3 linked regions of the Daphnia pulex genome follow. The protein of the gene in region 2 interacts with the protein of the main gene of each other region in a biochemical or structural test. Links are inferred from orthologs where the notes say so. Each region holds a gene or a part of one and is shown on either strand. Other genes may lie near its edges. The genes, in order: SUMO-conjugating enzyme UBC9-B; DNA topoisomerase I, mitochondrial-like; serine/arginine-rich splicing factor 1-like.

Region 1 (7,141 bases), on a different chromosome or scaffold from region 2:
GAGCGGACGTTGGACCCGATCAAGCGCCACTCTTTTGTCGCCCGTCTGGTGCCATCGGAGCAGCGAGTTCCAACGCCAACGGCAGTGCCGGCAACATGTCGGATCTTCGCCGGAGGAGTCCTCGAATGCTTCACAGGGCGGAATCGATGCTGACGAGGAGAGTGTCGTCCGATTCGAGGCCCGTTGGCAGCGGGAGCATTCGAATGAGCTCGTCGCTGGCTGCGCAACAAGGACGGACACAAGGCCAGCCCAACAGGATGTATCACCACGATAATTCGGCCGAATTGTTGGAGGGTTCCAATAGCGACTCGATATGCAGCAGCATCATCAGCACCAATCAACCTCCAACTCCGAAAGTATAAATTTCTCATTTTCTCCCTTTTGAAAGTTTCCATGGTAACACGTTCCATTTCTTTTTAAACAAAACAGCTTTTCGACAGGAAAACGAGCCAATCGGCTCGGTCTCTGCGTTCAGTTCGAACAACCAAGTCAAATGCAAGTCTACGGCGTAGTTGCCTATTAACGCGCAGCGCACATGCCAGCCAAGTTCAAATCGTTGCCGAGGGAGCGAGCGAGAGCGGTGATGTGGATTATCGGAGCGGAACAACAGCCAGTCCGCTGTTACCTCAAAGGCGATGCCAGTCACTCGGTCGATTTCCCGAAGACGAAGATGAACAACACCACCACCACCACCACCACCAGCATCAGGAGCAGCAGCAGCAGCAGCAGCAGAGAGCGGGCGGTTTGAGTTCGGTTAGTCATGGTCCCCGGCAGTTTCTCTGCGTTCCTCAAGTCTTCCCTTCTCGAAACAAGTCGAATCAGCGTCGCAGGAAAGAATCCAAATCCCTGGATCTTTTCCCGTCTGAATTGAGGTCGACTTTGATAGACCGGTCGCCGCTGCCCAGTTGCGCGTCGCAGGATGACACTGAAGACGAACATTCTCGACTTCTCAGCGACGATCACAACGTCGTCTTGACAATCCCGAACGGGGATCAACCGGAGCAAGCCGAATTGTCACGACCCAACGGACATATCAAGACTTCGGGCTACCAGGCCGTCAGGTTACTCCAAAACGACGACGAAGGGATTGACGTCAATTCCGAGACTCTGCTCAGTCGCGATCGCACTCGGCATCGGCCCAGTCTCACAGCCTGTGGATTGATGGAGTCTGAAAAGAGATACTCTTGTGAACAACTGGAACATTCGACATCGGGCGAGAGACTCGGTAAAGAAGGCAAAGACACGGTCATCGCCCCCACTGTTAGCAAGAGCGTGCCCAACGTCAAGCGGTGGATAGTCAATCTGTTCGGCGTGGGTCACGGAGGTGATGCTTTTAGTCGGAATCCGCAGACGGGAGAGGACTTTTCCGACCTCCACCGTGATGACAGAGAAAGCGTTGTGTGAAATTGCGCCTCCTTATTCTTGCATCCTCCACAGTCTTTTTACATGATGACAAATTTGCTTTACTTGTTTCGTGATTCGTATATTTCGCCATTTGAAAATGCCATACCCGATCTCCGATTCTTCTCGGTTAAGATTTTTAATCGATTTCAAGTCGGAATGTTTTCTTTGATTTTAGTGTATCTGTAATATTGTCGCTGCTGAAAATATTGTGATAAATCGGTTGTTGTTTTACATACCTTGTTTTGCACTTTGTACATCGATAACCCATTTAGTTCAAATTTTAATCAGGTAAGAGAGCCTTTGATGAATTCTAGTAGTTAAAAGAAGTTTGGTCTTCATAATCAGATATTCGCCAGATAAAACGCATATCAACAAAGTAGGTCACAACCAAATAAAATAGTCAAGTGACGTAATTGAAAAAAAAAAAGGTCAACAAGTGTTACACCTTACTTAGCGTTTTATTTCAGATCGGAGTATGTTTTCTGGACGATAAGTAAGTATTGAAATGAAGACAATAAGAATTTTTAAAAAACAAATAGAGCACGTGGAAAAGAAAAAGAAGTTAACTTATTCCTTGACAGCTGGATTTACTTGGGAAATTAAGACAGCAAATCAGTGGTGGCAGCCATAGCCTTGGCTTGTGCTCTAACACGTTTTTCGTACTCCATTCGATTTTGACTGGAGAAATAATCAAATGAAATATTACAATCCAAACTTTCAAGTTGTCTACTGGTGTAAAAATCATTACCAGTAGATAGTATAAGCTTCTGCCTGAGCCGGATCCTTAATATTGGGGTCATTTAGGAGATCTTGAATTCCAAGCAAAATCTGTTTGATGGTAATTGCAGGTCTCCAGTCCTTTTCTTCATCCAACAATGATAGACAAACTGTGCCTGGATATTAAATGCCAAAAGGTTAGCTAAAACAAAACACTCAAATAGCCATTTGATTCAACCTGATGGATAGACGTTTGGATGGAAAAGTGGGGGCTCAAATTTGCATTTTGGAGGAGAAGAGGGGTAGTCATCTTTAAAAATCATACGGATTTTGTACAATCCATTTTCCCAGGGAGTCTGTAAATGTATGCACAAGTTACACTTAATATTGTTACTTCAAACAACAGTGAATTTGGTAAGTATATCTGACACCAATGTGAAGTAAGATCTTTAAGTGTAAAACTCATTACCGATTTCTTGCCTGGAATAGCACATTCCCAGTTCATCAAATTGAGGGTTCCATCAGGATTCTTTGTGGGCCTGGCAACAAAACCCTAAAGGCAACGCAAAGATACACAAATCAAACACACACAACCCAACAACTATCGTTTGGCAAACCAGCAACTTACAAAGGGATGGTCTTTCCTCCAGCCTTTACGTTCCTCAGAAAGTCGAGCAATAGCAATACCGGACATTATTGGTCACTAGAGAATAAAAATTTCAGTGTGATGTAATAAGAAAGTGTGAATATGACTGAAGAAAGCAAGATGCAACAGCTCTTAAATAAATAATAGTTACCTTTTTTCAACGGCTGCCAAATAATTTAGCTGTGTAGTTTCGTACAATTATTGCCAGGGTTGCCTTAAGGTAATTCGAATAATTACAAATCAATTTAAAATTTAATTTGGGGATTTAAACGAATAAATGATGAAACATTTGCATGTAAAATATGGATTTCAATGAAATCAAACCATTTTGGCTGTAGCATGCATAAGCATTTTTAGTTTTAGTTTTCATCAACTAAAATTAAAAATGAACTGGCTATGCTGCCACTGCCTATGAAAGATGGCGCCCAGATGGTTCAAAAAACAACAGAGCAGTGAGTCACACAGGCATGCATCTTAAGTTCTTGTATTTTGTTTAAATTCCAAATTGAAAAATCAAGTGTTAAAAAAAATCATTGATATCTTCCATCTCATGTAGCTTTGATCGTTCAACATTCGAGACAAGCCAAGCGTCGTTTACGTAATGCTTCCAGAATATTCGAACACGTGAATCAACTAGTGACAAACCACAAAGGTATCACACGAAGACAAAACGAAAAAAGGTGCAAACAACCATGTCTCGAATGAATTAAGAATGATATAATCTCTAATCCTAAAGCCTCAGTTCAGTTTAACTTTGTGGATGGGGAAACTACAAAATTGATATAGAATGTTCAGAAAGGTATGAAAACATCAGTTAATTTGTCATATTAGGTCACAAACTCTAAATTTATTAAATGAAGATCTGTTATTCCCTATTATGGTTGTTTCAGCTAGGTACTTCTCGCATAGAAGGGTTGAATGTGTTAGTGCCAAAGTGGAAGGGAATGAAACATACTTGGGTATCTCAAAGCGGAAAATATCCTGTTAAATACTCATTAGATATGATGTATTGGTGATTTCACAAAACAATAGTGCTTGAATCACTATTTTGTATAGTTCAAAGATTATTACATGTGCCAGTTTTTAAACTAATTTCTTGCTTGGAAACGTAGTGTGCTATGTAATATTGTTGTGAGTCTGTCTTTATTTTTACCATTGCACTGAATAACAAATGACTCCTGAAGGGCTCAGGAAGATGCTTCTGAGAAAGTTAACTGTCAAGTAATAGAATAATGTCCATATCTAAAAAAATCTTTTGAATATAACTCCTCGTCAGTATTGGCTGTTACAGAGAAATGTCAATCATATTATAGAGCATAATTGTAAATGTTTTATTTCAGATTACTAACTATAATTTTATTATTAGGCGTAACCAATGAGTACTGGGGAATCGCGTCTTGAAAGCTTCGTGTTCCCTTCACATATTCGCACGTTTGAATGCAAATATATGGCGTTGCATGAAAGGAGATTACTGTCACCAAAGTGAGCAGGTATGTGGAAAGTAAATTTCTTTATGATAATGATATTTTATCAATAAATTAAAGATCAAAATGTTGATTTAAAATGAGCTGATAATAAAAAATTGAAATGTAAATTTTGTGACAAACGTTTATATTCCTGTAGCCAATGTAACAGACATCTAAGATTGGGATTTCAGACTACAGAAAGGACGACCAACAACAAACATCAATCGTTGTAGCCAGTGCGGTAGCAAGAATGAGGGATAGATAATTAGACAACATTAACAGAATAAGTAACGGATTATTCTGCTGTAAGACGTATGCCAGTGACTCATCCCACAATGCAGCTTTATTGATTTAATCCTTGGATTGCATGTACTTGATCAAATCGACGACACGGCACGAATAACCAAATTCGTTGTCGTACCATGAAATCAGCTTGACGAAAGTTTTGTTGAGAGCAATGCCTGCAGCAGCATCGAAGATGGAAGAGTGGTTGTCACCAATGAAGTCTGTGGAGACGACCTACAAAAAATCTCACGTTATCAATCAACTTTAATGTAAAATGTTTCTAATGATGTTACCTCCTCATCGCAGTAGCCCAAAATACCCTTCATCGGGCCTTCAGCTGCTGCTTTAACGACAGCCTTGATTTCGTCGTAGCTGGCTTCCTTGGACAGGCGGCAGGTCAGATCAACAACGGAGACATCGTGGACGGGTACGCGGAAAGCCATACCGGTCAATTTTCCGTTCAGTTCAGGAATGACTTTACCTACGGCCTTGGCAGCACCAGTAGAGGCAGGAATAATGTTCTGGGCAGCACCACGGCCATCACGCCACAACTGCAATGATCGAATATTCAAAAGGTTAGTATGTGATCATTTTTTTTTTCTCCAAAAGTATTTTACCTTTCCAGAAGGTCCATCGACGGTTTTCTGGGTTGCAGTGATGGCATGGACAGTGGTCATCAAGCCTTCAATGATACCAAAGTTGTCATTGATAACTTTAGCCAGAGGAGCCAGGCAGTTGGTGGTGCAAGAAGCATTGGAAACAATCTTCATGGAAGGATCATATGCTTCAAGGTTGACTCCAACAACAAACATGGGGGCATCAGCAGATGGGGCAGAGATGATAACTTTCTTTGCTCCTCCATCAATGTGAGCCTGGGCCTTGTCCAAAGTGGTGAAAACACCAGTGGATTCAACAACATATTCAGCTCCAGAAGCTCCCCATGGAATGTTCTTGGGGTCACGCTCGCTGAAGACCTGAATGTGATGTCCATTGACAACAAGCTTGCCACCTTCTTCCTTCACTTCTCCCTTGAAGCGGCCATGGGTAGAGTCATACTTGAACATGTACACCATGTAGTCAAGAGTAATGAAGGGATCATTGACAGCAACAACCTAAAATCCCAAAATGTCAGAATGAGTGAAATCATTAATATTTTAATTAATTATGTTTTACCGTAGCTCCCTTTTCGATGCAAGCGCGAAGCACCAAGCGGCCGATACGACCGAATCCGTTAATACCGATTTTCGACATCTTTAGGTGAAGTTGAGGAGGTGATAACTGCTCAAGGTAACAAAAAATTAAATTAAAAACTCCATTTGCCTAATTTAAACGTTAAATTTAGCATAGCAACAGTAAAACTATTGATTTGTCAAAAACAGCTGTTCTCAGCAGATGACGCAAAACCACATTTTACCGGATTTAAACATTAACATTTGGTCTTGTGTAGTTTTATATATATACTTTGACTAGTAGAAAGTATAAAATCAGTAAAGGTTAAGTTGAAGGAGTCTTTGGATCTAAAAATAGGCAGGACAAGATCAATACATCTCCACTGTAGAAAATACTGTATAGTGTTTTGGGGAGAGGTAGAAGCCCTTGTATTGACCTTCAAGCGTCCCGCCCGTCGACGTGACACGCACACCGGAATTTTCCGTAAAATCGACAATTTCGTCGAACAAATTTAGAATAGTTTTCAGCTAACAGATAATTTATTTATAGTTGCTTTCGAATGTTCTAGAGTGCTGGAAATTTTTATAGCCGCCATTTTCCCTAACCATGAAAGTTTGGTGCGTGAATATATCATGCACGACGAGCAAAACACACGATGGTAATATAAAAGCTAACTTAGCGTAACAATTGGAAAATTTAGTATACTATCAATCTGAATCAATTAAAAGTTATAAAAATTGGAACTAAAGATTTCTTTGTCGTTTTAAAACTAGTTAATGTCTAGTACTTAATACTCTAATAGTCTAACATGAATTCCAATTACTATTAGCGAGTGCCATGAATTTCTAAGATACTTTCAAGTAAAAAAATTACTCTTAAATGAGACTCGGAGACTCACCTTGTTGTTAGGATTGCGTACAGGGCACGTCTGTGATATCGAACCGGCGTTTCGAGTCCTCAATACCTCGGCGGGATTGCCTAGCCAAAGTCGAAGCGAACTCTAGTTTAGGTAGTTAGCGCTGCAAAGAAAGACGAGCGCTGCTTTTATTTTGGCTCGAGCCGACAAGGGCAAATGCTGGTTTCTGAAGGGCATTCACGTGATCTACTACTGAACTCTTTTGCCAACCCTCTACCCCACGCGAATCAATAATGCGCTCCCGCCATTAAATGTATTGAGCCAGCGTTTGAACCATGGTTTGAAATATGGAAAGCAATATTTTTGTATTGTAGATTCTTTACGTTGATTTATTCCTGATTGATCAAATTTTCACGTTATTATGTCTTACAACCCGATGCTGAAATGGTTCATCGTCGGTGTAATTAGAGAAGATGTTAGAAATATCAAGTATGGTAGGGTGTAAAATTTGTTATCATGAAACACAGAGCTATTGTTTGTTTTTTTTCATACCCACAATTTTAAAAAGTGTCTTGCTCTTTATTTAGATGGCCTTTT
Region 2 (7,651 bases):
GCGAAACAAACGGTCCACCTTCAATTTTTACAAGATTATCAGCTTATTATGCTTGGTTTCAAGCGAATGCTGGTTTACAGCCTATTACTCCGACCACTGTTTCAACTACAACTTTAAAACCTACTGCTCCAACTGCGCCATGCATCAATTGCGTTACTGCTTCTTACAACATGCAGGAAAACCCTTACGAATGATTCTACACATTTCTACGGCTGAGTGTTCACCCAAAGAACTGTGACAAAATAGTTACTTTACCTGTAGTTGTGTAGTGGCTTAGATTTTAGAACAACTTCCTTTAAATAAATTTAAGAGTCAGCAATACTGCAAGTGTATTAAGAACTTGAAATTGCTTTCGAAAAATTTAAAAATGTACCGACGACAAATACGTACGTAAATTACGCAAAAACTCTGGTTTGTTTCAATCTTACAATTAACTTAGCTATACATGTATTTATCACGCCAATAAATACCGCAGAACCTCCCGTAAACTAACCAAGACTTCAAAGACGCACGTCTTGTTTCGCGTGCTCTTATAAAAGAGGCAAAATTAAAGGCTATAAGAATTTTATTTTTCAAGCCTACGCAGCTTTACTTTTCACACCGCTACACAGAAAACCGCCGAGAAGTTGTTGCGAGACGAGAAAGAGATGGAACAATTGGTTGGCAAGAATCCGACAGGCGGACCCACACATTCCATGAAACATGGTACAAACACATGAGAAGTTTTATAATGATAAAAAAATTGACCCTCAATAGAGGGTTCTTAAAGAGGGAGGCAGTCACATTTTCCTTAGCAAACGACCGTATACCTTTGCACTTCAATTGCCATAAATTAAGGTATGAAGACAAAGGCTATCAACTCATTGTAATGTCTAGTTAAGTGTCCCAAAATTGTCCGTCAAAATACAAATTCGGGTCCCGCCATGTCAATCGCCCATTGGAATTTCTCTCTCTGGGTCTTATTGTAAATCTTCTCAATAGGTACATCATTTTTCTTGCACCTGGTTAGACAAAAGAGAAATCAATAATTTATAAACACATTCAGACATTGACAGTCATTCAATGTTACCATGCAACGGAAATACGTGGATCTAAGTAATTCAACTTGGAGGTACCCAACGCAATCTCCTTGTTTTCTTCCCTGTCTGTAGCTTGAACTTCCAACTTCATTAATTGCTCCTTGAGTTTCTCGACTTGCTTCTCTTTTTTGCCTGCTGCAATTCTATAAACAGAAGAGAAGTCTATGGTTAAACAAGTTCAATTGTGAAATGGTTAAAAAAAAAATTACTTTGCAGCAGCGGATCCCGTTTTCTTGGCTTCTTTTTTCAGATCTTTAAAACTTTTCTCTGCGTCTTCAATAGCTTCTCGTTTTGTAGTTATTTTTACTTGGAGATTTTCCATCGATTTAGCGAACGTCTTCGGCACAGCACGTTGATGGTTACAAAGGATAGCTACAGCACGATTAGCCCGGTTGTATGCCAAAATCTAAAAACAATTGATATTAGTACAAGCAACGAATAATTGCAAAGATTATCATAGCTACTTTTTCAGTAACCGAAGATTTCGGATCGGTTAGTTCGTCCAGCTGTTCTTGCAGCGTATTGGAAGCGTTAAAAGTACGGAACACTTTAGCCGTAAGCCCTTCCATTAGATCGTTCAGATGTTTGTTCATGATGGTGGTCTTCATGGAGAAAAAAAAAAGGTCAATTACAAAACCCACCCGATTATAACAAGCTTACGCCTTACATTCAGTCGATCAAAGAGATCGTCTCCTGGTTTTTTATTTTCCATAAATATCTGTAGGTTTTTGAAGACTCGCTTCTCCACTGGAACTTCATTGTAGTATCGAATAGAATCCTTACCTAAATTTCAGAAAAATGTAGAAATTATGTTATGGTGAGCGTTAACGTACACATAGATATTAATTACCGAGAAAATCGAAGACTACAACACACTGTTTTCCTTCCTTCTGTTCGTGAAGTGATATATGTTCAACTCGCAAAGAACAAGCACCAACAGTATCGGCCTGATCTTCATCTTTTTCGTTACCTGCCCTGAGCGCCAACTGCAATGCAACATAGAGAATAAATATGCACGACGAAAATAATTAGAATACAAATTGACCTACCTTGTCAATAAAATATAATGCAACGGATCTTTGACGGATTTTCATCTCTTTTGATTTCCAATCTTCTTTGTAGGTCTCACGAATTTTATCGACAGAATCTATGTAAAAAATATATTAACATATCATTTCATGGGATATTTTATAACAGTTGACTAACACACCTTTCAATTGACGGGCAATTTCATATTTTTGCCAATCCTTCTCTCCTTTCAACCGAGATGCTGAATTCAACATGATGTATTTCACTTGCCCTTGGACGTTTTCTGTCCACGAAGCTAGCCAGGTGACGGTATTGTCACTACGAACTTCTTTCCATTTATGGCCAGGAGGAGGTTTAGGTGCAGTTCCTTTAGTACAGTTAATGATGACATCTTCTGGCATTACCCTCCGCTTTACCATCCCCATTTTAGGATGATCACCACGACCACGAAAGAGACCTTCAAACAATAGAATTAGCATTTTAAAAAGAGAAAAACTTTAAATAATAAATTACCCGGCGGTTCAATTTTGAAATTGCCAATACGTTGTTTGTGTCCATCAATAATACACCATCCATATTCCTTAACCATTTCTTCATTTTCTGTTTTCAGCTGAAGTTTTTCTTCTTTGGTCCTGTTCTTTCTCTCTTCAGATTTAGCTAAAGAAGGAAACATGGGATTAACAACCATCAAAATTAATTAGAAACTAGCAGAAAATTTTGACAAACCTTTAAAATAGGTAAGCATGTAGGTGAAATCACACTTTTTGAGATCAGTAATAATCTCTTTCTCAGAATGAGTCATAAATTTACGCCAATCTTTGAAAAAATTCTTATTAAATACATCTTTAGTCACATAGTCATGATCCAGCATAGCAGCATAGAATGATCCAACTTCTTCAGCAGCTGTACTCAATTTCATTTCTTGACCATTATACTTAAACTTGACATTTCCTGGCAGGGGTTCATATTGTGTAGCAAACACTGGACCCTTATGCTCTAAGGATTTCCATTTAACTCCATCTTCATGCTTCTCTTCTTCCCACCTAAAGAACAAAAACAAACGTTATTTTAGAACACAGGTTACTTTAGAAGGTTGCAAAGAAAAATAACATGGGATAACGAATTATTTGTAAGAGTTAAAATACCACGGTAAATATCTTATATCCAAGGATACATAACGTAAAACTAAATTTGACGTAAAATGATTTTTAACTAAAACATATGATGAAACAAATGCATTTCTCGAAAGTGTTGCACTAATAAAAAAACGGCATCTTAAAACACAAGCCGCCATGCTTACGATTAACTATCGATCACAAAATATCGATATGGACCCGTTTTGACATTTTTTGTTTGAAATCGTTACTTTAAACAATAGACATACCATTTCCACGTTTCTTCCTCTTCTTTTTCTTTTTTGGCTCGTTTGGTGGGCGAACCATTTGGAGTGGCTGGTTTCTTGTTTGGCTTTTCTTTCTTGTCCTTCTTTTCCTCTTTTACTTTTTTAGCTTTCTTCTTAGAAGCTGAAAAATCATCATCATCCAAATCTTCGGCCTTTCTCTTCACCGGTTTTTCAGCTTTAACTTCAGCTTTAACCTCAGGTTTAACCTTTTGGCGAAAAGCTAAGGGTTGATCATCATCCTCAGAATCCTGTGAAGTCTGGCTGAATGAGCGAGAAGCCTTAAGCAGAAAAAAAATCAAATAATTTTAAAACTAGTCAAAACATGGAAAGGTTTATCAACACTTACCAATGGTACATCATCATCTTCAGACAAAGGTTCATTTTTAACTTCAACATATTGGGATTTTTCAGCTTTGTCTTTGGATTTGTCCTTCCCTTTCTTCTTTTCTTCTTTTTCCACCTTTCTATCCTCTTTACTATGCTTCCGGTCCTTGCTGCGTTCTTCTTTGTCATGCTTTCTATCTTTGTCCTTAGATTTGTCTTTATGCTTATCCTTAAAAATAATATCACAACAAATTAATTGAATATTTAATTAAATAGTTTAGAACTTTTACTACCTTATCCCTATGCTTATCCTTGTGCTTGTCCTTGTGTTTATCACGGCTTTTGTCTTTAGATTTCTCACGATCTTTATCTTTATGTTTGTGCTTGTGAGAATGATGGTCCTAAACAATAAGATATCAGTTAGTTCAACCATATTAAACTTACTCATGTTCAAAAAGTATTTTGCTTGTACCTTATCCTTGGATTTATGGCGATCCATGCCATTTGACAACCCAGTCAACATATCTTTTCCAGCACCATCACCCTATCAAATCATTAAATAATAAAATTAGCCAATGAATTGGAAGTCATTGATTTCCATGACAGTAATTTTTTTATGAAACACAAGCTCATGAATGATATTATTTGTAAGTCGCTACCGAAATGTACTGTAAACAAGAGCGTTCGGTTACGACGAATTTGTCATCATTCTAACTAAAAGGTAGGAAAATATCTGTTGAGCTACATCTTTTGGACTCTGAAAATCTGACGCCATGTCAGCGCGTTTTCGGGTTAGAAATTCAACTTTTTAAATTTAATTCCACGTCAAATGTTCAACAGATTTTCACGAAAATTGAAAGAGGAATTGAACTCGAACATGCGATCTTGAAACCAAAAGTTATTTGTTAGCCGCCCTCAAAATAAGGCTTGTCAACCGTTCCAAAGAAAGAGGTTTTTGACGAAGGGACTTAGCCGCTGACGGCCATTTTGAACTTAGAAAAATTTCGGCCGACTCCGAGGGAAATCCATAGATTCTCCATTCCAGTATTTGCCCGACGTCTTACCGACACACTTTAAAATTGCACGATTTGATTGCTAAGAATGAATATAAACTTACTGATGGAGGGGTATGCTTATCAACTTCTGCTGAGCCCATTTCGTTGACAAATAAAGGACGACTTTTGTGGACCGGAGCGTTTTTTCACAAAAAGATAGAGTCCAAACTTCCAAAGCCAACTACACCAACATGGCCAGGTCTTTCATCCGGACGTTCAGCAACGGACCCAAGGACTTTTCTCACAGGTCATATCTTCAGCGCTCCTAGCGTAGAAGTGAGCAAACTAACAATTTCTCATTCTCGTCCATGAACCTCAACAGCAATGCCAACTATCAGTAAAAATTAACCTAACGAAAATGCAAAAATCTAAAGTTCCTGACGAAGTCTGTCGAGTCTGTCACGTTATTTATTATTACTATTTGTATTCGAAACGTTTGCGATTATGCAAATTTGTATTGCAACAGAATAATTTAATCATCAAATGTTCATAATTATTTTTTAAGACTTATCTACCCGTAAGCCTAAAGGGAAAAAGCTATTGTAAACGGAAAATAATTTTTTTCGTCACATTTATTTAATAATATTATCATTTATTAATATATAAAAATTACTTTTTTCTTGTTAAGTGTACCAAAGTCGATAGCGACCTTACAGTCTTATGGAGACACCAGATGCTTAAAACATTTTTAGTGGACGATTGAGTTGAAGGTGATTTTTATACATGAGTTGAATGGCCGTATTTTAGTGAACAAGCAGTGTAACAGTACCAACGTGCGGCACAGGTACACATCAAAGTCTTTATGCCGTCACCAAAGAACAAGTTAGAATGCCACAACAGCATCTGCAGCATTTTTCAAATATTAAATTTTATTTGAATTCGTTCTGCAATTTTATTTGTGCTAGGAAACGGAGCGAAAATTTGGTATCAGAATGGATGGAACATTTGAAAAAATCACTTAGTGCAAATTTACATAAGACAATAAGCCATTGAAGGCGAATTGATGTTTACTTGTGTTTACTTCTCAGTCGCATTATTATTTAATGTTACTTCAACGGAAGTAGAAAGAAATATACTACTTATCCATTTTAGGTCATATCCGTAATATTACCAATCAGCAATAACTAAGGATAAAACTGTTTAAAGTCGAGTGACTTATTTTGGGTTTTGCTGAGTTAATTCGATGTTTTCTTTTGTGTTAATCTTGGGTAAATTTACTTCAAAAATCTCCAATCCAATTTTGTGTAGACTTTGAACACTTTAGTTCTATTTCGTTTACTCGAGCGTTTTACGGTTGACCAGAGTAAATGCTACATGCACTCCAAAGCTTCTTAACCTAGCTTAATCGGTACAATCTTAAAACTCAAATCATTCTTTGAAAACATGTTTATGCCAAGTAAACACGATGGATGTTTTCTCATCGTCTAAGGCAGTAAGGCGAGCCCGTCGCAGAGATAGTGAACATGGGACCCACAATATGCCAAATCTTCCTTTTGTTAAGTCCTATAACATTGGGGAGGTATATAGTATACTACATATACCTGGTCGAATCGCTTCCCCTTTTTTCTCTATTGTCAACTTTGAAGAGAATGCCAGCTCCAGTAAAGGCGTGAAAGAAAAATGATCTCAGTAAGGGTCACTTGAGGTCGCCTCAAAGGACTGCAGTTCAATGTCCATGAATATGTGACTTCGATATTCAGTTCTAACCATACAACTCTTCTTCATGTTTACTGAGATTGAGATCAACAGATTGGTGTTGTATTTTCAAAGCTGTGAGCTGTCTTATAGTATGCTGTCTCACTTGACTTGGCTGTTGGCTGACTAAATGCATTTGCCTCCGCTTTCTCTGTGCAAGAAAGAAATAATCTGTTCCCGCTCTAGCGTTTGCAAGTAATGAGGGTTTTATTTTGTCGAATGATATAAAATATGTTTTTTTTTATGTGAATGTGATGAGAAATGATTATTAGCTAGCTTTAAATCCCCAGACGATCTCGTGGTAAATTCTTTCGACCTTTAAGGACATCAGTCATCGTAGTCATGGTCACATTTTCGAGGTCATCCCATCTTTTCAATATTTATTGACCTTGTCAATGAAACGGAGTACGTAAAGATTTGTCTTATAATGTCTAGCAGATCAGATCAGGTGATACATAATTCATTGCATCCATTGCTTATCCGGAATAAGGGGCCTCGAAAAATCTTAGCTATTGCGTCCCTCTTTTTTCCATTGACCTACTTCTCTTTCCGCTCTTCGACCAGTATTGCCCATCATAGATTCCTATAAATCAACACATTTTCTGTGGAGTAGTCACATTCCTTGAGATCGAATGTTCGAGTCAACTTCATTCCAAGTGTTAACTCAAATAATTACACTTACACAGTTCTCCGGTTACAATAACATCCTTACAGTTATTTAACAGATCGGTAAAAGCGTGTAACTCATTCAACTTGAATAATGAAGCTCCTTATTTACTGGTGTATTGCTAACTTTATCGCTGATTTTATTGGAGTGGAGTGTCGAAGTCCTTCGGTGAACAATCTTTATCGTAACCGCCCATCCACAACAATTTCACCGCCGACAGAGGAGACATCACAGCAACAATTTTCCACGACTACTCCTCCTAGTTTATCAACTGTTGCCACCGAGAAGAGCAATGACGGGTTGCTTACTCCACCGGTCACTCAAAGTGCTACTCCTGCCTCCGTCAAAGTGATTCCAGCGATTGTTATTGCTCATCCTCTCAATTCTACATTCCCCAACA
Region 3 (7,499 bases), on a different chromosome or scaffold from region 2:
ACTTTGAGTGCTAAAATGATGAATAAATCAATACTTGTTTTAAAGGACCAGCCTTAAATCTTTTCTTTTTTTCAAAAAACCTAGAAGTTTCTACTGCACAGACCTCGGCAACAGTAAATCAACTATAGAGTCAAGCACACTCAGAACTGACAACGTTAAATTCAAGATCTTTCTGACCGGCGCAGATCTGCAGACGGTTAAGTTCTTCTTCAATGATATTAACAAAGGCCTGTTACCAGCAACTTACATGAACTCTGATGTTCGTAAGTCAAGTTGTGTCCAAAGCGCCACCAGTGGACTGATTCATTCAAACAACATACTAACATACTATCATGATAATATGGTTACAATTTGGTTAGTAAAATACAAGGTTAACAACATTTGATTTCTCATTTATTTTTCATATTGCATTCATGAGGGAAAAACGTTTTTGACTGAATGAATGTTTTCCGTTAGAGGGCAGTAGTAACCGTAGCAAAAAAATGCGGGACTAAAATTGACAGTCAATTGCCTATCGCACAAATACCTTGCTCCAACGTATTAAGGCTTTAAGTATCGGTAGAAGTAAATGATAGAACCAAGTGATTCTAACGATAGTTACAAAAGGCGCGTTTTTTTTAAACAGGGAAATTATTGAAAGTCTATCAACTATAATTAACAATAATAATTATTCACGTTTCTCCTTGCTAAAATTTTTAATTAAAATGAAATGTGTGACGTCAACATTTATAAGCGTTTCCGTTTGCTGCTGTTAGAATACTTTTTTAAATATCACATTTCCGGGCGGAACGGACAAAACAAAACATTGTGAAATATAATAAGGAACACAAAAGAAGAACATAAATACTTTTTTTGTTATTATTATTTCAAATCTAAGTTGTCTTATCCCTTATGGCACGCTCAACTATTTTTCAGACTTACAATTTTCAGAGCTATTGCTTATGGCAAGCCAACTCAAAATTTCACAGGAAAAAAGGAATAAATGCACCACTGAAAAATTAAAGATAGGTTATTGTTGTAACCAATGCCGGTTTATTTATACCAGTTCTTGAAAGGAGATAACCCCCAGAGCAAATGACCTTGTCACAAAGTTGATCGTTACGTCAATGCGGTTGAAAAGAACTCGACCTTGATGTACGATTTTATACCAGGTATAGATTGCACGCGAACGTCGTTACCAAGAGCCCAACAAAAATGTCGCGCAATAGGCTCTGCATGCAAGGGTCATTCAGTTAATTGCACCAGAACAAAGAAGTACTCAAGATAACAAGCATAATTTTGAGATAACTGAGTTAACCATTAATAGCTGTGGTTCGGTCTTCGGTTTGCGCTTACTAGAGTGCCACCGTGTTCACTTTGAAACCTAATTATTCACAAAGCCACTAATATGAACTTATTTCAACTTAATTTTCATCCGCGATTTATTTGCTAGATTTATAGGCAAACAAAAAAAATTAAAATCACAAAAATAGTAACTATAAAAAAAAGACAAAAAATAAAAATAAAAGCGTTATCAACTTGCTGATCTGGCAATGCTCCATGGCTGACGCCATTACCCGTTCAGAAAAATTTACGGCATTTTTCTGTTTGACAAGGGGCGCCTAACACCCAAGACTACTGTGACGTCTTTTTTCGAAAAAGCAAATTCCGTATTCGAATTCGATTTAACATACACATTTGGCAACTAACCGTAAGTGACAAGAAACAGTCAGTATGTCAAGTTCTCGCAACAATGAAGCCAGAATCTACGTCGGTAACTTGCCACCCGACATTCGCACTAAGGACATTGAAGACTTATTCTACAAATTTGGAAAGATTGCATACATTGATTTAAAGAACCGACGAGGACCTCCTTTTGCTTTTGTTGAATTTGAAGATCCCAGGTATGTTGCATGGTTATATTTGTTTCCTTGTTTAGTTAATTACAAGCACTTTATAGGGATGCTGAGGATGCTGTGCATGCTCGTGATGGCTATGACTATGATGGATATCGTTTGAGAGTGGAATTTCCAAGAGGATCACAGAATTCTGGTGGTGGACACAGGTCAGTTTTTCTATCCTCACATACCATATTTGTAATTTAGTTGTGATTGTTTTATTTTGTTGGTAAAAGAAATTATGACAAACAAGTAAAAATCCTAATTTAATTTTTCATAATATTTATTTTTTAGGGGTAGTGGTGGTCGAAGTGGAGGAAGAGGTGGTGATGGAGGTAGAGGAGGGGGTGATGGTGGGGGTAGCAATGGTGGAGGCAGGAGTCGAGGGCCACCAGCAAGAAGAACAAATTACAGAGTCATTGTAACTGGTGAGTTAAACATTTAGTAAAGTTTTAAACCATCATTTAAAGCCACTTTTGATATTCACAGGTCTTCCTCCTACTGGATCATGGCAAGATTTAAAAGATCACATGAGAGAAGCTGGTGATGTGTGTTATGCTGATACCTATAAAGATGGAACTGGAATGGTTGAATTCCTTCGCTACGAGGATATGAAATACGCCATCAAGAAATTAGATGACTCAAGATTCCGTTCACATGAGGTATATTTTCTACAAATCTTGATAAACAAAGTTTTCAAAATTATTCGTACGTTTACAGGGAGAAGTATCATATGTGCGCGTTAAGGAAGATAGCGGAGACGGTAAGTTATATTTCAATTTTTGTTTAAAGTAAATATTGACCTTGAATTTTTTCTTCTATAGGTCGCAGCGGCGGAACTCGTGATCGATCGCGATCTTATTCTCCAGCCGGTGGTGGCGGCAAAACACGTGGAAGTCGCGGCTCCCCCAGCTATTCCCCCGTTCGTCGTGGTGGTTCATATTCCCGTTCGCGCTCACGCTCACCTCGTTCCAGATCACGATCTTAAAAAAGTTATGGAAACGAGAAAAAGGCAAAACTAAACAAAAAGACAAAAGTTGTGCGATGTGGACAACAAAAAGCTTAAGGATTGGAAGGACTGGAGGAGGAAAGGGGTCTTTGGTATTGTCTCCATGGTTCATACTATATTTTCAAAATTCTTAGATGAATAGCAAATCTTTTAAATTGCAAAAACCAATTTTTTTTTTTTTTACAACAAGCTACATCAAAGATTTCAATTTTTTATGAGAAACTCAAAATATGTTTCTTGGGTTATGATTTTGGCATTTGCAATTATTGCTACTAATCATTCAGTTTCTTCTCGACGTACACGTAATCCTTTTTGGTTTCGAATACCCTCAGAGCTCCCCGATTCCAACCAACTAATTTTTTTTTTTCCGTGAGCAACCTCATCCTTTCCTTTTTCCCCTCCCTCTTGTAATACACAAAATAGCTGTGCGTCGAATAAACATGATTCTCATTTTCTTCCCCTTTCTATTTGTAGCGTACACAGCAAGGTTATTGCTCTCTCTGGATGGGATTGTTGTGGGATTTGGATTGCATTGGATTTGGATTTCATTGGAATGGATTTGGATGGATGCATTGTGGATTGATAGGTGACAGGATCTGGAGGATATGCTGGAAACAGCAACCGCTTCTCCTTTGTCTACAACCGTCGTGGTGAATCGCTGTGGACTTGCCTTGTCAGGACCCGTTTATTTTAAAGAGATCTGTTGGACTCCGGCACTTTGGAATTGAGCCCGACCTAAGACAAGAGTTAACTTAGGATTGCTTACCCTTTGATTTTCAGGCACTTTTTTCATCATCATACAGAGAAAGAAGAAACCGACGGATGACGACAAAATGGAAATAATACATGCCTTGCAAATGGTGATATTTCCTTGGAGTACAAAGAAATTCCTTCGATGTTTACCGATACTTCTGTTTTCGGCACATTGGAAACAGTATTACCATTTTAATGACAATTTTTTTATGTATGATACGATTTAATACAACCAGTGAAATGCTTTTGAAAAAAAAATTATGACCAAAATTATTCTGTTCTCTAGACTAAAACAAAAATTTGATGACGTGTTTAAAATACAAAGTTGCTTTTCGTCTTAAACACAGAAAGAACAATTAAAACAATTCGCATTACGATTACTCACCATAGAAACTTAACGTAGAAACTGTTTCAGAGAAAAAAAATAGGTTTTTGTTTAGTTTTGATTTCTTTCTAAATTTATATCTCCTTGTCCTTGGAACCAAAAATGAGAAACAAAAATGCTTTGAACTTGAGCGCTTGCTTCTTCTTTTTCTTTTTACGAAAGTCCCAGTACTTCCTTAAGATTCCTCTAGATGGCGTCTTCGCGTTGCTTGGGTAACCAAAAACGTATAAAAACGTACAAATTTTCCCCCAAAATAGTGTAATTACACATTCACTTTGAGCATACTCAAAAAAACATATAGTTTGAAATTATATATTTGTACAGCGTTTTGAGTTTATCATCTGAATTTCTACGATTTTTCTGTGCATCAATAGGCTCTTATCGGTTGTTAACCGGTCTCTAAACAGAGCAAGTTTAGACCTGCAGTTACGAACTACAGTGGAAGATTGAAGCATTGGTAAGAATAATTTTGTTTTTTCTTCAATAAACCGATGATTTTATTTCACAATACATTCGTCATTTGTCATAGATTAAACATTGTTAGAAGATATTTTCAGTACGTTGAAAATTGTCACTATAATAACATTGTAGCAGAATGTTTCTCTTCAGTAAACAACAACTTTTCTTTCTTTTTTTTTAGGCATCTGTGATATAGGTTTTTTGGGGTATTTCCAATCATGGCTACTACAAGCATAAAAAGACCTAAAGAAGAAGATTCACTCGATGGACCTGGTCGAGAAGCAAAAAAGTTAAAATCACGATTCCAGGATGACAGCAATGGAGATGGAAAGAGTGACCAGGATACTACTGAACAACTCTCTTCTTCTCAGATTAGAGAAATGATGATGAATGCTCAAAAGATGATTGAGGAAAGGAAACGATCTCTCAATCAACCGCCAGCTCTTCTCAAGACTACCCCAGTGCTCTCATCACTTCCAACACCTGTAGCTCCTAAAGCCGTTCCCCCATCTTCAATGGATGAGCGTGCCAGAAAGATTGCTGAACTACAGGCTCAAATTCAGTCAAAACTAGCCACCTCCACTTTAGCCACATTGAACTTGAGTCTTCCTAAAACAGCCAGTGTCCCTGCATCAACAGGGGAAGGGTCTAATAATGAGCCGAAACCTGGCCCACTTATTCTCAACGCTGATGGAAGGACAGTTGATGCGACTGGTAAAGAGATTGCCTTGGCCCAATACACACCAACTCTCAAGGCAAACATTCGTGCCAAAAAACGCGAGGTGCTCAAGACTCACATGGGCAAAGGATCTCAACAACAAAGCGAGGAAGCGGGAAATTTGACGGAAAGTCGCTTCTTCGATCCACGTGTTGCAGCCAAATCCTCCGTGAGAACACGCAGAACCTTCCACTTTCACGAGCAGGGCAAATTTCAGCAAGTGGCATCTCGAATGCGAATGAAGGCTCAGTTAGACAAATTGCAAAGCGAAATCTCTCAAATTGCCCGTAAGACTGGCATCAATTCAGTCACTGCACTTGCTCTAGTTGCCCCACGAGTTGGCGATCGTCAGGAGGAGGAGGACATTGATTTGGAATGGTGGGACTCGGTCATCTTGCAAACACGAAGCTACGAAGGCGAAGACGGACAGCCCAATTTACGCCAGGAGACGATTACCAATTTAATCGAACATCCCATCCAAATGCGTGCTCCCACCGACCCGCTGGCCTTGCCCTATTTGCCCGTCTTTCTCACCGAGAAAGAGCGCAAGAAGTTGCGCCGCACCACTCGACGTGAAAATTGGAAGGAGAAACAAGAAAATATCCGTTTGGGACTGGAACCGCCACCTCAAGCAAAAGTTCGAATTTCTAATTTGATGCGCGTGTTGGGCAACGAAGCCATCCAGGATCCAACCAAAATTGAAGCTCACGTCCGCGAGCAAATGGCCAAACGACTTCAAAATCACCAGGAGGCAAATGCCTCTCGAAAGTTGACGGCTGACCAGCGACGCGAAAAGAAGGAGAAAAAGCTCCAAGAAGACACGACAACGAGCGGTGTGCATGTGGCGATTTACCGGATCAAGGATTTGTCCAATTTATCCAAGAAATTCAAAATCGAGACCAATGCCAAGCAGCTTTACATGACGGGATGCGCAGTCATTTTCAAGGACGTTAACGTCGTTATAGTCGAAGGAGGCCCTAAACAGCAGAAGAAGTACAAACGCTTGATGCTCAATCGCATTCGGTGGGAAGAGGACGCCGTCAAGGTTAGCAAACACGACACTGGTTCATCCTCCCAGCCCGAAACGCGGAATTCCTGCCAGCTCGTTTGGGAAGGCACGACCAAACAACGCAATTTTGGTGACCTCATCTTCAAACTTTGCCCATCGGAGGTTGTGGCTCGAGAACATTTTCGCAAACACGGCGTCGAACACTACTGGGACCTGTCTTATTCCACAGCAGTGCTGGAAGAAACTGAAGAAAAGTGATCGGTTTCATTCTGCCATCAACTTTAACTCTTTATTTTTTTCTTTTCATTTTTGAACCAAACGTTCATCTTTGAATATTACCATCAATAAAAAGATTTGTCTTTATTTCTTTTTTTTTTCTTTTTTTGTGTACAAAAACGGGGAATGTTATACAGGTCTTCGCAGGAACATGACAGAATATATCCTTTGACGCTGGGCAGCTTTTCAGGCACTCGGTGAATAGAAGGTGTAACGTGGTGTCGTGACGGGTTGCAAAACAAACGATAATCCGACAGTTGTTTGTGTTTGGTGATCTGTTGTTGGTTCTCCGTGACCTATGACGCAGCATAAGGAAAAAGGTGGTATTTATTAGACTAGTTCGTGATTGTCATTTCTAACAGATTTTTTAATAGTTTCCTTTTCAGCGAAATTGAATTTAGAATTTTTTTAAAAGGAGGAAACTAACCGCCCAAGGCTTCAAGTGATGACAGGAGGACAAAGCCGACGAAAACGGATAAAAGCTTAATTAATCCATTGCCGGATTTCCTTCGCTCGCGTTCCAACACTTCGAGAAATGTGACGTAAAGGAGAGTTCCGGCTGCGACTCCTTGAAGGATGCCGATGGTTAACGTGTGAGACGGCGTAGGATCTTGAAAATATTCCGTGACGAATATTCCAATGGCCACTCCGATAGGAGTGATAAGACCCAGTGTGACCATGTAGGCAATGTAAATGCCTACACGAATGTGGGAGGCCAACATCTCCATCCCGATACAAAACATGATTGCCAGCTCGTGAACTGTAACGGCTGCAAATAGGAACCAAATGTCCTTCAGAGTTGGCTGCAATCCTATCGCCATTCCTTCGAAAATAGAATGGAACGACAGTGCAAAGACCAACAGGAAGCCGCGTATCGCTGCCGCGACAGATCGTTCTTCCAGGTCCGACAGTATGGGTGGAGGCCCATGGCTATGCCCATGATGGTTGTGTCCATGATGGCTGGAATCGTCGGAATCGTTGTCAGTTCCTTCCTCAGTCACGCGTTTAGTGCC

The links.
Region 1: the proteins of DNA topoisomerase I, mitochondrial-like (region 2) and SUMO-conjugating enzyme UBC9-B form a complex in vitro, tested with the Homo sapiens proteins (2 studies listed by BioGRID, with this or other methods). The link is inferred for Daphnia pulex from reciprocal best matches to the Homo sapiens genes TOP1 and UBE2I.
Region 3: the proteins of DNA topoisomerase I, mitochondrial-like (region 2) and serine/arginine-rich splicing factor 1-like form a complex in vitro, tested with the Homo sapiens proteins (2 studies listed by BioGRID, with this or other methods). The link is inferred for Daphnia pulex from reciprocal best matches to the Homo sapiens genes TOP1 and SRSF1.

Annotation. Positions count from the first base shown.
Region 1 is NC_060018.1:629,825-636,965, reverse strand, and holds SUMO-conjugating enzyme UBC9-B, read right to left. Parts: upstream 3,072-7,141; 5' UTR 2,919-3,071; exon of another isoform or gene 2,825-2,918; 5' UTR 2,816-2,824; coding exon 2,750-2,815; intron 2,675-2,749; coding exon 2,591-2,674; intron 2,478-2,590; coding exon 2,360-2,477; intron 2,298-2,359; coding exon 2,153-2,297; intron 2,083-2,152; coding exon 2,004-2,082; 3' UTR 1,844-2,003; downstream 1-1,843. Other genes in the region: receptor-type guanylate cyclase Gyc76C-like, read left to right, coding at 1-356, 430-1,404; glyceraldehyde-3-phosphate dehydrogenase 2-like, read right to left, coding at 4,585-4,752, 4,812-5,069, 5,136-5,630, 5,692-5,769. UniProt on the Homo sapiens protein: Accepts the ubiquitin-like proteins SUMO1, SUMO2, SUMO3, SUMO4 and SUMO1P1/SUMO5 from the UBLE1A-UBLE1B E1 complex and catalyzes their covalent attachment to other proteins with the help of an E3 ligase such as RANBP2, CBX4 and ZNF451.
Region 2 is NC_060019.1:12,289,561-12,297,211, reverse strand, and holds DNA topoisomerase I, mitochondrial-like, read right to left. Parts: upstream 5,170-7,651; 5' UTR 4,991-5,169; coding exon 4,952-4,990; intron 4,379-4,951; coding exon 4,307-4,378; intron 4,236-4,306; coding exon 4,128-4,235; intron 4,064-4,127; coding exon 3,857-4,063; intron 3,789-3,856; coding exon 3,493-3,788; intron 3,152-3,492; coding exon 2,835-3,151; intron 2,766-2,834; coding exon 2,622-2,765; intron 2,566-2,621; coding exon 2,290-2,565; intron 2,227-2,289; coding exon 2,129-2,226; intron 2,066-2,128; coding exon 1,930-2,065; intron 1,863-1,929; coding exon 1,747-1,862; intron 1,682-1,746; coding exon 1,544-1,681; intron 1,486-1,543; coding exon 1,289-1,485; intron 1,223-1,288; coding exon 1,070-1,222; intron 1,002-1,069; coding exon 899-1,001; 3' UTR 548-898; downstream 1-547. Other genes in the region: trypsin-1-like, read left to right, coding at 1-194. UniProt on the Homo sapiens protein: Releases the supercoiling and torsional tension of DNA introduced during the DNA replication and transcription by transiently cleaving and rejoining one strand of the DNA duplex.
Region 3 is NC_060024.1:10,558,088-10,565,586, reverse strand, and holds serine/arginine-rich splicing factor 1-like, read left to right. Parts: upstream 1-1,531; 5' UTR 1,532-1,713; coding exon 1,714-1,883; intron 1,884-1,939; coding exon 1,940-2,044; intron 2,045-2,171; coding exon 2,172-2,305; intron 2,306-2,366; coding exon 2,367-2,539; intron 2,540-2,597; coding exon 2,598-2,640; intron 2,641-2,701; coding exon 2,702-2,865; 3' UTR 2,866-3,340; downstream 3,341-7,499. Other genes in the region: U4/U6 small nuclear ribonucleoprotein Prp3-like, read left to right, coding at 4,702-6,468; zinc transporter ZIP3-like, read right to left, coding at 6,673-6,782, 6,914-7,499. UniProt on the Homo sapiens protein: Plays a role in preventing exon skipping, ensuring the accuracy of splicing and regulating alternative splicing.